2 linked regions of the Lonchura striata genome follow. The protein of the gene in region 2 interacts with the protein of the main gene of each other region in a pairwise test. Links are inferred from orthologs where the notes say so. Each region holds a gene or a part of one and is shown on either strand. Other genes may lie near its edges.

The links. The genes of interacting proteins can lie anywhere in the genome.
Region 1: the proteins of FLII (region 2) and LRRFIP1 interact in binary tests that used the Homo sapiens proteins (3 or more experiments, as listed by UniProt). The link is inferred for Lonchura striata from reciprocal best matches to the Homo sapiens genes FLII and LRRFIP1.

The regions. Positions count from the first base shown.
Region 1 is NC_134610.1:38,486,360-38,494,550, reverse strand, and holds the start of LRRFIP1 (leucine-rich repeat flightless-interacting protein 1), read right to left. Parts: upstream 3,307-8,191; 5' UTR 3,213-3,306; coding exon 3,123-3,212; intron 1-3,122.
Region 2 is NC_134618.1:15,741,625-15,749,091, reverse strand, and holds the start of FLII (protein flightless-1 homolog), read left to right. Parts: upstream 1-4,225; 5' UTR 4,226-4,269; coding exon 4,270-4,332; intron 4,333-5,344; coding exon 5,345-5,455; intron 5,456-6,431; coding exon 6,432-6,503; intron 6,504-6,630; coding exon 6,631-6,711; intron 6,712-6,993; coding exon 6,994-7,079; intron 7,080-7,221; coding exon 7,222-7,383; intron 7,384-7,467. Other genes in the region: MIEF2 (mitochondrial dynamics protein MID49), read right to left, coding at 638-1,683, 2,659-2,836, 3,280-3,447. UniProt on the Homo sapiens protein: Is a regulator of actin polymerization, required for proper myofibril organization and regulation of the length of sarcomeric thin filaments. It also plays a role in the assembly of cardiomyocyte cell adhesion complexes.

The sequences.
Region 1 (8,191 bases), on a different chromosome or scaffold from region 2:
TGGCGGTGCAGCACTACCCTTTCCTGATAGAAGAGATCTGCATCTTCTACCTCTGCTCTGAATAGCTCTAGACAAGGTGATCAACTACTTCAGAAACTGCCTGAAATATTAAAACTACTCCTGATTAACATGGCTAATGCTGCTACTAAATCCTCGTTACTACAAGATGCTTCACTCTCACAATTTCCTTCCTCTTGCTCCGTTACTTCCCCTCAGATTGCTCTTGCTGCCCTCTTCACCACACCAGTCTCTCTCCTGGGCTGTGCAAGACACAGAGCAAGACATCCCAGCTGCAAATCCAAACAAATTTATGTTCAAATGGCAGGAGCTTCACAAAGTCCTTGCAAGTCTTGCTGTCTTCCTATAGGAGCACGTAGTAAAGTGAGAACTGTGGGTTTGCCAAAATATCCTGACAACCACAAAATAAAAGGTACCTCTGTGAATCAGTCTAGTTTGGATGCTCTCTTGGGCTCCCATATGGACACAGGGAAAATGAGACTCTAGGATCTGCAAATAACTTGCCATCACCTCTGGCTTCTGGATAACAAAGCCAAGAGAGGAGTGAAAAATCTATGTGCAAAAGCAATGTGTCTGTGTCCCAGCTTTGCCTAAACACCTGTGAGGAAGGCTGGAAGAGCCAAAATATCAGTAACCCTCCCACCTTCTTAACATGGAGGCTCTCAACATTCCTGCTAAGGAGAGACAAAAGGCTTAGTTGACATATTCTGGATCATACAGAAGGATTCATGTGGGATCCTTTGTGTGGAGAGCAGGCAGTTAAACAACAAAACAATTAAAGTGCTCCAAGACAGAGTAATGCAAATAGATAAAATAATATGGGAAAATGCTGAACCTTGAACTTGGCAGTTCACAGTTTTAGCACTCAAGGGAAAAGATAAAAGACATGCTTGTGTTGGGCTTTTTGAGCAAATGGAGTTGTCCTTTAAACAAACCCCAGGAGAAGGAAGGGGAAAAAAAAAAGCCACAAACCACCACAACATTTGAGTCCTCAAACCATTACACAATGCAGTGAAAAGCAGATCTAAGATAAAGAAAATAGAAAGTGGGAGAAAAACGTGCAACAGAAAAGAGCAGCTGGGTTCCTTGTTAGACTAATGTCTTCCTTGATCAAATGACAGCACAGTCCGGACACATTTGTGGAATTCAAACCCTCATCCCAAACAATTCTTAGGATAGTATCATGACTCTAGCAGGCAGCACAATCACTCTTACTTGCTATCTTATGTCCAGGACATGAGACATTCTTGTCCTCCTACCTCAAACTCCACCCTTGGGAACCTTCTCATCACCCTGCCACAAAAATCTGCCTTCAGAGAACACACTGTCTGAATCACTCACACAAAACTCTGCTGGATGTACTCCAAAGATGCTACAAACCACCAGAAAATGGTGCACAACAACTGGAAAGGCACCGGTGGTAATGAGGAGCACAGTGTCACAGCCTCAACCTACCAGCCAGTGCCACCAAAAAATAAGCCATACATTAGCATTCATCTGATCCTGCCGCAGCCCTAGATCAGGAAAGGAAACCAAGAGAGACCTAAAACTCTTCCAGAAGAGTAATTTATCTTGTAACCCATCTTGAGGTCACACCAGCACCAGGTGGGCTGACACACATAACCCATGCTAGGGGAAGAGGACAGCCACTTTCAGCAGCAGCACTGGAGCAGTTCAGACACTGAATCACAAAATGGTTTGGGTTGGAAGGGACCTCAGATCAACCCTGTGCCATGGGCAGGGACACCTTCCACCAGACCAGGTTCCTCAGAGCTCCATCCAACCTGACCTTGGACACTGCCAGGGATGGGGCAGCCACAGCTTCTCGGGGCAACCTGTGCCAGGGCCTCCCCACCCTCACAGGGAAGAAGAATTTCTCCCTAATATCCCATCTAACCCTGGTCTTTTTCAGTCTGAATCCATTCCCCCTTGTCCTGTCCTACGTGCTCCTGTAAACTCCAGGATATTCCTTGCCATCTTTCTCGTAGGTTTCCTACTGGAGAAGAACCTCAGGGCTGCTTATCCCCCTTTCCCCATTGGAGGATGGCCACAGCAAGGATGGAGAAGAGACTTTGTCAGATTTAGTAAACATAAAAAACCGAATTCACATTATCTTCGTTACCACTGAACCAATTTAAGTGTGCATAAGAATAAGGAGGCAGGAAGCATCAGCAATCAGCTGGTTTAGAAGGTTAAAGTCACATTGAGCACAATGCAGCATCTGGTGGGCAGCAATATAAAAATCCGTTTCCAAGTTAGAGGGGTCACTTATGCCCACACCCAGCACCACCTTGCAGTATTCTGGTTTTAATTTTTCACTCTCATCCCCGGAAGCGTTCCAGGCCAGCCTGGATGTGGCTCGGAGCAACCTGCTCCAGTGGAAGGTGTTTCACTGCAGGGAGCTTGGAACGAGATGCTCTTTGGGATCCCTTCCAACCCAAACCACGCTGTGATTCTATGATTTATACCTATCCATACCACACCCGAGCGGCCTATTTTCAGTGGTTAACACCAGTCGCAGCGGCTCTCAGCAGCAGTGGCGATGGACATCCAGCCGAGGGGCTGGAGCGGGGCGGCCCCGGTAGCGCACGCCCGTCCCTCACGGGCGGCCGGAGCGGAGCCCGGGCAGGGGGCACGGGCGGGGTGAAGCGGGGCTGCCAGCTCGCCCGGGCATGGGGGTACAGGCGGGGTGAAGCGGGGCTGCCAGCTCGCCCGGGGATGGGGGCACGGGCGGGGTGAAGCAGGGCTGCCAGCTCGCCCGGGGATGGGGGCACGGGCGGGGTGAAGCGGGGCTGCCAGCTCGCCCGGGGATGGGGGCACGGGCGGGGTGAAGCGGGGCTGCCAGCTCGCCCGGGCATGGGGGCACAGGCGGGGTGAAGCGGGGTTTCCAGCTCGCCCGGGCATGGGGGCACAGGCGGGGTGAAGCGGGGTTTCCAGCTCGCCCGGGCATGGGGGCACAGGCGGGGTGAAGCGGGGCTGCCAGCTCGCCCTTGAGCCGCCGCGGTGCCGGGGGCGCCTGCGCGGCGCTCGGGGGAGCCCGGGAGGGAAGGCGAGGGGAGGAGGATGGAGAAGGCAGAAGGGGGATGCCGCCTCCCGCCGCTCACCTCGCGGGCGATCTGGTTGAGCGCATCGTCCTCCGCCGTCAGGCGCTCCCGGTTCGGTAGCCGCTTGCGTCCGGCGCCCGGCGTCCCCATGGCGAGGCGGTCCCGGCCTGGCCCGGAGCGCAGCCGAACCCGGACCCGCTGCCCGCCGGCCCCGAGCGACCCTCCCGCTCCCTCCGCCGCCTCCGCGGCGCGGCCGTTACCGCCCCCCGCCCCGCGCATGCGCCGCCGCCCCCCGCCCTGAGGGGACGGGCCGCCTCACGCCAGCCCGAACCCGGGCTGGGGGTGCCCGCCCGCGGACCCCGCACCGAGCCCGGCTGTGCTCGGGCCCCCCGCCCGCTGCCCTGACACCGAGCCCGGGCTGTGTTCGGGGCTCTTTGCCCCCTGCCCTCGCACCGAGCCCGGCTGTGTTCGGGCCCCCCGCCCGCGGACCTCGCACCGAGCCCGGCTGTGTTCGGGCTCCCCGCCCGCTGCCCTGACACCGAGCCCGGCTGTGCTCGGGCCCCCCGCCCGCTGCCCTGACACCGAGCCCGGGCTGTGTTCGGGGCTCTTTGCCCCCTGCCCTCGCACCGAGCCCGGCTGTGTTCGGGCCCCCCGCCCGCGGACCTCGCACCGAGCCCGGCTGTGTTCGGGGCTCCCCGCCCGCTGCCCTCAGCGCCCGATATGGTGTGTGGGCCCGTGCTCGCTGCTATCACCACCCAAAATTGGGGTGTCTGTGGGATTCCTCCTCACTCCCATCACCACCCAAAATTGGGGTGTCTGTGGGATTCCTCCTCACTCCCATCACCACCCAAAATTGGAGTGTGTTTGGGGGTCTCTGCTCTGACCGCCTGAATTGGGGGGGGGGGGGGTTAAGGGACCCTGCTCGCTGTCCTCGCTATGCAAAATCAATGTGAATGTGTTTGTGGGATGGTCCCTGCTCACTCTCCTCACCACCCAAAATCGGGATGTGTGGGGTTCCCTTCCTACTCCCCCAGCCCCACTGTGGACCAACCCCCTTCCCACTGGGGCCCTTGGGCTGCCTGCCAAGCTGTGGGAAATGACAGAATCCCAGAATGGGTCAAGTTGGATGTGACCACAAAGGGTCATCTGGTCCAACCTCCCTGTTCCAGCCGGGTCATCCCAGAGCACAGGGCACAGGATTGTGTCTGGATGGCTCTGGAATATCCCCAGTGAGGGAGACTCCAAGGCCTCCCTGGACACTGTCCACTGCTTGGTCACTGCCCAGGGAAGAATTTCTGCCTCCTGCTCAGGTGGAACTCCTGGGCATCAGCATCTGCCTGTTCCTCGTGTCCCACTGCTGGGCCTCGTGGAGCAGAGCCTGGCCCATGCTCTGGAATATCCAGATATAGAAATATCCACCCTTTGGATATTTACACACATTACAGAGGTCCCCTCAGCTGTGACTCCTCTTGAGGAACCCCAGCTCCCTCAGCCTTTCCTCCTCAGAGATGCTCCAATCCCTTCATCACCTCCAGCCTCTGCTGGACCCCCTCCAGGAGCTCTGCCTCTCTTGTCCTGAGGAGCCCAGATCCGCATGCAGTAAATTTACCAGAAATCATGGAAATGGGCATCAAAACCTTGCCAGTTGTAAAGCTGGGGGGTTCCTCCCCCCCAAATAGAGGGGGAGCAGGACAGAAACAAAGACTCCTTGTGCCTGACACCTTACACAGCTTCATAGCCCTGTGGGGTCTCTCCAACAATGAATTTTCCTACTAAGTGTAAGTGGACGTGATTAATTTTAGTTTCAAGTACATCAGTGCTTAATTAATTCACATTGACAAGGTACATGTATTTTCTGGGATTCCTGTCACAGCCCTTGCACCTCAATTTTCACGCTAGTTCCCTAAATATGAATTAAAGAGGCTAAGCTCACATTATTACATAGACGGGGAAAGAGGCTACAAATCCCACCCACTCCCTTCTGACCAGAAAGCTGCATTTAATCTTTATGATTTAATTTTACCATTGATTTAAACTTGATTGAAATAATAAGCAACACTTGCCCACTCAGTATTTCTTGTCAGTTTTCATGTACAACACCTGAGATTTGAATCATCCTCAGACTGACTGGGTAATATACTGCATCGATGGTGCTCCTTGTACCTGGGACTATTTATCTTTGCAAGAATCAAATTATTATTTTGTCAGCAGAAGCAGATGGATGAGTCCCCCACCTTGCTTGGGCAGCAGAACGCATCACACCCTCAGATTTGGTGTCAGGTTTACTCTGACCCCACACAAGTGGATTAAAAAGGACTTGCTTTTTGCTTCGCAAGGCAGCACAAGGGCTTTCAACTGAGCTCTCACCCTGGAGGCAAAGCTCACTGGGTCTGGTTTTCCTAGATATCCCTCAGGCTTCCCTTCTTCACCTCCCCAAGCCCTGGCTTAGCACTACCACCCTTTCAGGCTCTACATAACTCATTCCCTGAGCCCTTATCCTTGCATTTGCCCCTGCCCTTTGAGGAATTCTGGCTAGAGAGGCGGGGCAGTGCCTTATTTTTAGGTCCCTGTTACCCAGAGATTTTGGCCACCTGTGCAGCTGCATCACGGTATCCATGCAAGGAATTTCCCCGTTCAGGGGTGCAGTAGGATTTGCATCAGTGCTGTCTGCCTGCCTGGCTGAAAGCCTTGCAGAGCCTTGGGCTAGGCAGGTTTTTTTGTCCAAAAACTGGCTATTGAGGTGACAAAGGGAAGGGGAGGAAAAATAGAGGGGAAATAGAAATCTCGGGGGGCAAAGGGGGAGGAGAGGGGAAGAGAAATACAAGGGAAGGATTAAAGAAATGTCTGGGAGAAAGAGAGAGGAAAGAAACAGAGAGGAAAAAAAGAAATCCAGTGGAAAGATGGGAAAGGGGGAGAAGAAAGAAATAGAGCAGGGTAGAAAGGAAGAAATAGACAAAGGAAGTACAGGGCAAGGGGAAAAGAAAGATGGAGGAGGGAAGGAAGAATTAAAAGATTAAAGCAGAGAAACTGGAAGAGAACACGCTGGTGGGTGACTGCAGTGAGATTTCAAATCACTCACTGAATGCACTCTGCAGTGTAAGAAATCCTTCTCTTTCCCTGCATTCCAGACACACACAGTAAGTTTTTTTTTTAAATATAGACAAAATAAGCCATCTTGTTATAAAAATACTATACATAGATAATTTGTCCAGATAAATTTGAAATAATGGTGCAAACCACGTTGGTTTTGGCTGCACTGTGAAGAGCAGTGAGTGCAAATGAAACACTGAAAATAAAACACTTATTTTAACAAGCAACACAAGGGCGAGGCTAGTTTTGTCTGGAAGTCATGACTGTGATGAATGATAGTCGGACAACACTGAGTATCCCATGCCAGTTTTAAAGGGCTCTATTATTAAGTGAATAATACATCCCTCATTCTCCAGTATCCTGTGTCCAAGGAGGCTGCTTTGTGCAGAGCACACCCTAAAAGATACAATTTTCCCTCTGTGCTGCTCTTAAACCAAACCCTCTTGTAAAACCCCACTGTTGAGAATCAGAACAAGCAATCAGCTGTTCAAACTGGTGGTGGTGTACTTGAGGAACCTCTTTTACATAATGAAATGGATGTTTTTGTGTCCTGGAAAGGAAAATGTGATTACATTTATATTAGAGGCAAGCCTTGGAATGGGGGAATCCAGTGGCTGAGTGTGTGAAAAGAAAGCACAAGGGCACCTCTCCACTCCACTGTAAGGTCATGACATCTGCCAAATCAGAAATTAAGCCTGGCAGCTTTAACAAGTTGTCCATTTGTCCAAGGAGAGTGGAATGCTTTAAAAACCTTGGAAAATCCAACTGAGGAGGCCAAAATTTGAGATTGTCAGGATACATGAGATGAGCAGGGCTCCATTAGCATTGCGATATTTTGCAAACATAACAGCAGTGGTATCCTGCAGGCTCTACAGAATTTATTAATGGAAAAAAATTACATCACAGACAAGTATGTGCTGGCACAGAAATTCTGCAGGAAAATGAAAAAAAAAAACACTTGTGCAACCAAGGTGATCCTCCCCAGCAAATCAGACCTCCTGGGAAAATCTTTCAGGTGTGTTGCCACATCTGAGCAGTGTCAAGACAGGGATGAGGGGACTGGTGGTGTCCATGTGTACTTTGCCTGGATGAAATTCCTTACTGTTATTCCATCTCTTCAAGTCAGCAGGGTCATTATTTGCATCAGCAGAGCTCTGGTCCTTTGGGAGCCTTGCTTAGCTTTGTCATGTCTAGCCTGGAGTTTGTAGTCACACAGCAAAGCCAGAACTGATTAGTGTCTTCCCAGCTGGTCCAAAAAAGAGATCCATGGGCTTGGGTTGGCCAGGGAGAATATTGTGGGCTTCCAAGCCAAGCTTTAGGAGGATGGGAGAAAAAAAAATCCCACAACAGCAGCAGCCCTTGATTGCTTTTACCAACAGCATGATGTGGGTTTTTTCTGAAAAAAGCTTATTGGTTGACTTCATCTTGCCAAAACCCCTTAATGAGTTATTGGCCTCTTTAATCACCTTAGCATGCCATGAGAGATAGTTTTCCATTTGTGAATTTTTCACAGGTCACTAAAGATGCCACTTTGGGGAGCTCGAGGTCTCAGCATTGGATCACTTTTAGGGTTGAGGAAGAATCTTCCCTTGGAGTGAATTTTTCAAAGGTTAACCTCGGGGTTAACCTTTGAAAAAGTGATTTCATTTAGTATTTTCTTGTGTACCCTGGCACAAGCAGGACAGCACTAATGAAATAAACCAATGACACAGAGTTGAAGTGTCACCAAAAAAGAAGGGTAAAGTCATACAACAGGTTAAGGACTTGAGAAACAAGTAGAGTGAAATCAAGCAGACAGCCAATACCATGCCAGAGGCTAAATTCATGATCTCACCAATTGTTAATATGGGAAAAGGAGGAAATGCTGGGATCACAAACTGCCTATGGGTTGGTTGCGTGCCACCATCACAACAGAAACACCAAAACACTGCATTTGAGAGCACTTCAATAAAGGGTCATTGCACAATCATTGCAAGACTTTACCTAAAATGGTGCCACAAGCCTGCTTTTTCATATTAAAAATAAATCAAACTTGAATA
Region 2 (7,467 bases):
GGCAGCATCAACACTGTCAGAACAAAGAGGTAGGGCTGAGCTTGCCCCTTCTGGAAGGGTTTCCAAGGAATAACCCCCATCCCCCATTTGCTATGGCTGTACCACCCAGCACCCAGCTCATCCACAGGGTTTATTTGGGATTGGCAAAATCCTGCGGGTGGGTGAGGCTCCCCCTGCCCCAAGTGCTGGCACAGCGAGGCCACGCAGGGTGCTGGTGACAGGACCAGCCCAGGACGTGGCACCTGAGGGCTCTGCAGGACACAGCAGCAGGAAGGGGCTGCTCCTCTCCAGCTACTCTCAGAGCCTGAGGGGCAACCTGACAGCTGGGATAGGCAGAAGACACTGGGAGCCAGAGACCAAACATGCTTCACTGGGCTCCCAGCAGACAGAACTCACACGTGTGGCGTGGGCTGCCCTCAGCCCGGGTTCAGCAGAGCCTCTGAGCCCAAGGCTCCTTCTGCCAGCACCCACCTCTGCTCAGGCACGCTTTATTCACACAGGAAACCGGTTTTTTCCTCATAAAGTGCAAGAACTTTGCCTCTTACTGACTAGTCAACTAGAAGCATCACAGCCCTCACAGCGGGGAGCAGCAGGCAGGGAGCAACCCCCCCACGTTCAGGAGCTCCCAACACACCGGTCACTTCAGCAGGACCTCTGGCTCAGATATGGCCCTGTAGAGCACAAAGCCCATCTCATCAATTTCCTCTTCCAACAGCCTGGAGAACAGGTTGATTTTGGGGTTGAAATAGCAAGGCAGGACTCCTTTCTCCAGGGAAGCCACCAGCTCCTCAAGCAGCTGCTGGAACCTGTCAGCAAGGCTCTCCTCTGCCCAGTCCACAGCAGTGTCACTGAGGTGCAGGATGACATGGGCCATGGGGCTGCCCCCCAGTTTGTGCAGGCTGGGCTGGCTCTTGCAGATGCTGTTGAGGATGCGCAGGCAGAGCTGCCGAGCCCCGGCGTCACCAGCGTCCAGCTCCTTCACCCTCGAGACCTCCGCCCTGTAAAAACTCTCCAGCCAGAGGTTTTCCACCAGTCCTTCAGGAGGAACAGCCAGAAGAACCTTGTCCTCCATTTCCACCACTGGGAAGAGGGTGATGCTCAGATCAACCTGATCATGTTTGACTTCCAGCTTCAGCTCCCGGGAGGCCACCACAGGGTGGATGGCACAGCCCAGCAGGCCACCGATGGCAGGCCAGTTGATGGAGGCCACCAGCAGCTTGTGGAGGGTCTCGTTGATCACGCTGGACGAGAGGTACCGGCCCACCATGAACCTGTCCCAGGGGCTGCACCCACGAGGGAAGTAGCCCAGATCGATCCTCTTGATCATCCAGTACTGGGGGCTCCTCACCACGGTGTCCTCTCCCGAGATGAGGCTCCAGAGCCCGGCGTCGAGGACCACCGGGAGCATGAGGTGGATGTGGTCAGCTGCCAGGACCTCGAGGCCATCGAGCAGGGCTCCGCTGAGGAAGAGGCGGCCAAAGGGCAGCTCCGGGCACTTGCTCCTCAGGAAGTTCTGCAGCTGGGTGCAGATGCTCCTGGCCAGCTGTGGGACGAGGGACACTTGGATCTCGGGCACGGCCAGCTGGCTGCTGTGTGAGAGGAGCTTCTCCTGCAGCGTGAGACAGCGCAGGGGGCTGGGCTTGACCTGAGGAGCCCCCAGAGAGGCAGAGAAGCCCCTGGGATCTGTGGGAAGGGAAAGGAGAAGTCACAGCTCTGAGCACATCATCTGAAAGCCTCAGCAGCAGAGGGGAAGGCATGAGTTGGGTGCCCAGCTCTCAGCCCACCCCTCTGGAGGTGACACCGACCTCAGCAAGGGCCCCCATTGAGCTCACTGATGTTAACAGCACTTCTCAGCCATGCAGAGCCCAAACCAACCCCAAATCTGGCTGTTCCCAGCCTCACTCCTCAGCCAGAGATGGGAACCAGGCAAGGGACTTGCTGCCAGGGTCAGAGAACCACAGAATACACTGAGTTGGAAAGGACCCACGAAAATCATCCAGTCCAACTCCTGGCCCTGCACAGACACCCCAACAATCCCACCCTGTGCCTGAGAGCAGTGTCCAAATGCTCCTGCAGCTCTGGCAGCCTTGGGGGCACAACCATTCCCTGGGGAGCCTGGGCAGTGCCCAGCACCCTCTGGGGGAAGAATCTTTTTCCTAATATCCAACCTAAACCCTCCCTGACACAGCTGCTGCTGTTCCCTCATGTCCTGTCAGTGGTCACCAGAGAGATCAGTGCCTGCCCCTCGCATGAGGATCCTACAGACAATCCTGCTCTGGGTCCATTATCTCAGGACATGCCCTGGACTGAACTGGGCCAGTTTCCCACTTGGAAAAGCTCCATCTCCATGGGCAGCTGGACAAGGCAGCCTTTGTTTGCAGCAGCTCCTGAGCACACCTTCCTGCAGGCACAGCTGACCCAGAAAACTAGCACAGCCAACGCTGCTCCAGAGGAAACAAACCCCAACACCCTCTGCCAGGCCACTCCGGATGTCACCAGAGGTCCTGTTTCCGCTGGCATTGCCTAAAAAGGGGCCGTGGCTTGGGAGCCTCCCAGCAGGGCAGGCTCAGTGGGCTCGGCTTTCCGACAGCGAGCTAAAAATAACGTGGAGCTCCCGGAGCACACCAAGGTGATCCTCCTGGGCACCAGGAACCTCACCTGGCACCAGAGGCCGAGCTGGAGAGAGCAGAGGCTCACTGAGATCTTCCCTTCTCTGCTTCTTGGGGGGTTTTGGTGTTGTCTTGATCAATGCCAAGTCCTGCCAGCTCTCCTCCAGGGATTTCTGCTCAGCTTTGGGGTCGCCCTCATCCCGAGGGCTGGTGGCTCGGTCGATCAGCTGGAGGGAAGGAAAAGCCAAGAGGACAAGATGTTATCTTTGTTTTCCATGAATTACAGGTGAGGCGACAGCCCCACTCAAGGCTTCTGCTCAGAAAAACACCCAGTTTTGGGGGCCATGAGTGTGCACATCATCTTCCTGCAGGTTTTACATGGAAAACAGATTCCCAAATACAATTTAGGTCCCAGGTGCCTTTTGGGATGGGATACTGTATGCAAAATGCTCCAGGCAAACAGAACATGCATACATGGTCCCACAGGATGGAAGCAGGCAGCTCCATGTCCACGGCACTGCTTCCAGCACCCGTGGCATTTGTGCCACGTGCAAGGAACCAGCTCAGGAGAGAACATAAAGAATTTGGGACACATCTTGCCCCACCACACTGGAACCAACCCAGCCCTCCTGAGCATCTCCTGGTGCTCTATTCCCAGACCCAGCCTTACCCTCTTGACAGCCAGCGTGGCGATGGCCAGCACGGCCGCGCCGCTGACGCCCAGCACCAGCCTGGCGTTGGCCAGCAGCACATCGAACACGCTGCCCAGCCCGTCGAGGACAGCGCCCAGCCCGCCGCTCTCCTGCCGCCGGCCCCGCTGCTGCCAAAACGCCGCCATGGTCGCCCTGCGGAGAACAGGAGAGTCACCCCGGGCTGGGGGACCTGTCACCCCGGGACAGGCACAGCCGCAGGGTGGGATGGTTTGGGGAACAAAGGGTTCCGCCGGCCCGCTCTCCTCCGGGATAAAGGCTCCCGCCGGCGGCGGCGGGACGGCTGGGTGCGGCGAGGGAGCAAGGGTCACCGGGGGAAGGGACACCCCGGGGAGGGACACCCGGGGAAGGGACACCCCCGGGAAAAAAGGGACGGACACCCCAGGGAAGGGACACCGCAAGGAGGGAGGGACACCGCAGGGAAGAAGGGACACCGAAGGGAAGGGACACCCAGGGAAGGAAGGGACACCCCCGGGGAAGGAAAGGACGGACACCGAAGGGAAGGGACACCGCGGGGAAGGGAGGGACACCCCGGGGAAGGAAACATCCCGGGGAAGGAAGGGACACCCGCTCCTCACCCAGCCCTACCGCAAAGCCTCGCGGGGCACCGGGGCGATACCGCGGCCCGCGGGAAGGGAGCCCCCCCCCGACCCTACTGACGGAGGGGAGGCGGCACCAGAACCAGAACCAGCACCGGGACCGGCACCGGCACCAGAACCAGAACCGGGACCGGACCGGGCCGGGCCGGGCCCGGCGCTGCCCGCGCGCGCCCCCGCGCCGCGCTCCGCGCGCGCTCCCGCCGCGGCCCCGGCCAATGGGAGCGCGCGGCGGCGCGGCCCCGCCCACAGCGCGCGGAAGTGGCGCCAGGCGCCGCGCGCGTCACGGCCGGGGCGGGCGCGGGCGGGGCCTGGCGGGGCGCGGCACCGCGCGCCGCCCCCCGCGCTTCCGCCATGGCGGCCACCGGCGTCCTGCCCTTCGTCCGCGGCGTCGATCTCAGCGGCAACGACTTCAAGGTGCGGGGCGGCGGGAGCGGGGCACAGCCCGGCCCGCAGCGCCCCAGCGGGCCCGGGCCCCGCGGGGTTGTCAGGCCTGGCTCGGCCCCCGGGGCAGGGGAAGCCCGGCCCCGGCCCCGCCCGGGGTGGGTGACCTGGGGCAGTCCCGGTCCCGGCGCTGTGGGCGCTGCGGGGGCGATCCCTGACCCACATCGAACCGCTGGGGTTGAGCAACCCGGCCCTCAGCCCAGGGGGTCCCAGGGAGATCGGAGATCCCCGAGCCTCCAGCTCCCGGTCCCATAGGACCGGGCGATCCCAGCTCCCGGTCCCGTAGAACTGAGCGATCCCAGCTCCCGATCCCGTAGAACTGAGCGATCCCAGCTCCCGATCCCGTAGAACTGAGCGATCCCAGCTCCCGATCCCGTAGGACCGGGCGATCCCAGCTCCCGGTCCCGTAGAACTGGGCGATCTCAGCTCCCGGTCCCGTAGAACTGGGCGATCCCAGCTCCCGGTCCCGTAGAACTGGGCGATCTCAGCTCCCGATCCCATCGGACTGGGCGATCCGTCCCAGTCCCATAGGACTGGGCGATCCCAGCTCCCGATCCTGTAGGACTGGGTGATCCGTCCCAATCCCATAGGACTGGGCGATCCCAGCTCCCGCTCCCGTAGGACTGGGCGATCCCAGCTCCCGGTTCCGTAGAACTGGGCGATCCCAGCTCCCGCTCCCATAGGACCGGGCGATCCCAGCTCCCAGTCCCGTAGGACTGGGTTTCCATGGCCCCCAGCTCCCAGGCCCCTAGGACGGGGTGATCCCAGCCCTCTAATTCCCAATTTTATGGGACTGCTTCATCCCAACCCCACAGCTCCCAGTCCCTTAGGACTGGGTCATCGTGACCCCACACTTTCCAGCCCATAGGACTGCACGATCCCAGACCTCCCATGACCACAGAGCCTCAATCAGACTGAGGTCCCCAGATCCTCATCCCGTGGGACAGGTGTTTCCTCACCCTCTTCCTCCTCCTCCTCCTCGCAGGGCGGGTACTTCCCGGAGCATGTGAAGGCGATGACCAGCCTGCGCTGGCTGAAGCTGAACCGCACGGGGCTCTGTTACCTGCCCGAGGAGCTCGCTGCCCTCCAGAAGCTGGTGAGCCCCGTGTTCTGGGATGGAATGGGGCTCCCCTATCCCGCTGGGACCGTAGGATCCCACGGGAGCCTGTTCCCTGCCAGCCTCGTGGCTCAGCAGCGGGTGCTCCAGTGTCTAATAATAGCACTGAGCTGCAATGTGTGGTTGAAATGGGATGCAGGAGCTGTCAGGAGTGGGTTTGGAGTGGGCTTGCTCTCAGTTTCACCTTGTTTTCCTAGAAAACCAGATTAAAAACCACGCTTAGATCCTCTACCCTGTAGTAGAAGGGAAGGGTGATGGTTACAGTGGGGACAATCAAGGGTTTGGGGGCTTTTTTTCCTTCTTCTTTGCTAAAGTATGTAAAAAGCAGGAGCTGGCAGCTGTCTGGCTTTGTTTTTCGGGTGGTTCACCCAGGCCCTTGCTGGAGTCAAGGCTCAGCTTGGCTTTGGTGGTGTCCACAGCACATCAGGGACCTCATCCTGTCCGTGTCACACAAACTGAGTGCTTTAATCGCTGCCAGGGAATCCCTCAGTGCCACTCCTGCCAGCCCTGCCAGGTGCTCGGGGGCCACAGCAAGACTGAAATCCTGGCATCCCACCCACAGCCTGCCAATGCCGTGTGTTCCTGAGCAGGCAACAGCCGGGCTGGTGATGCTCAGAGGAAAACATTTCCCCAGGGGAATTCCTCCCACCCCAGCAGTGCCCACGTCTGCCCGTTCCCAAGGACTGGGATCTGTTTGTGTGGGCATCCCAGAGCACCCCAAACCCCACGGCAGGGCTGAGGTGTGCAGGGGATGAGGGATGTGGAGGCAGCGCAGGCACACTGGGCCAACCAACCAGTTTGAGACTGGGAGTGTCCCAGCAGCTCTGTGGGTGACAAGTCCCCAACTCTCCTGGGATGGAGGAGCCTCCACATCAATGTTGGGGCACAGCCTTTGCCCTGCACAGCCCCAGCTCCTCTCTCTGCTCACTGGGGCTTGTCTGGGACTTCCCTGCAGGAACACCTCTCCGTGAGCCACAACAGCCTCACCACGCTCCATGGAGAGCTCTCCGGCCTGCCCTGCCTCCGGGTGAGTGTCCCCCTCCTGCCTCAGGGGTCCCCAGGCACCTCTGGGATCTGAGGGCACACCAAGATCATACCTGGGCACCCTGGGGGCTCCGCAGGCAGCTGCATTCCTGCCTCTCTCCCCTCTGCAGGCAATTGTGGCTCGTGCAAACAGCCTGAAGAACTCGGGAGTCCCTGATGACATTTTCCAGCTGGATGACCTCTCGGTGCTGGTGGGTGCAGATTCTTCTCAGCTTATACAGGAGCCAGCTCAGACTCCTGGGTCCCTTTGCTGCACCGTGGTGGCTCCTTGTGTTCCTTGGGAGCAGCAGTCGCAAGCCCATGGCTGAGCTCCAGGGAAGCTGGCTGTCGGCAGGGTGACCCTCTGGCAATGTCTCCTTTAAAGGCTGATGCCATGGAAGGGCTCCCTGGGTTCCCTGTGTGCTGGTCCAGCTCCCTGGAGGTGTGGGTGGTGGTGGCTGGGTGACAACTGCTTTGTGCTCCCCCTTTCCCAGGACCTGAGCTACAACCAGCTCACAGAGTGTCCCAGGGAGCTGGAGAATGCCAAGAACATGCTGGTCCTTAACCTTGGCCACAACAGGTGGGTTCAGGCTAGAATAACCATCTCCCCATCCTGGCCATGGCCACATTTTGCTCTGGGTCCTGTTCTCTGCCCCTCCTCGAGGGAGATCCGGGGCTGGTGCAGATCCTAGGCACTCCTGAATTTCCCCACATCCCTGCAGCATCGACACCATCCCCAACCAGCTCTTCATCAACCTGACGGACCTGCTCTACCTGGACCTGAGCGACAACAAGCTGGAGAGTCTCCCACCACAGATGAGGCGCCTGGTGCACCTGCAGACCCTCATCCTCAACAACAACCCCCTCCTGCATGCGCAGCTGCGGTACGGCCCCGCTCCCCGGGCTGCCTCCCAGCCTGGCAGGGCTGGCACTGAGCTCCCTGCTCCATCCTGACACTCCCTCTGCCC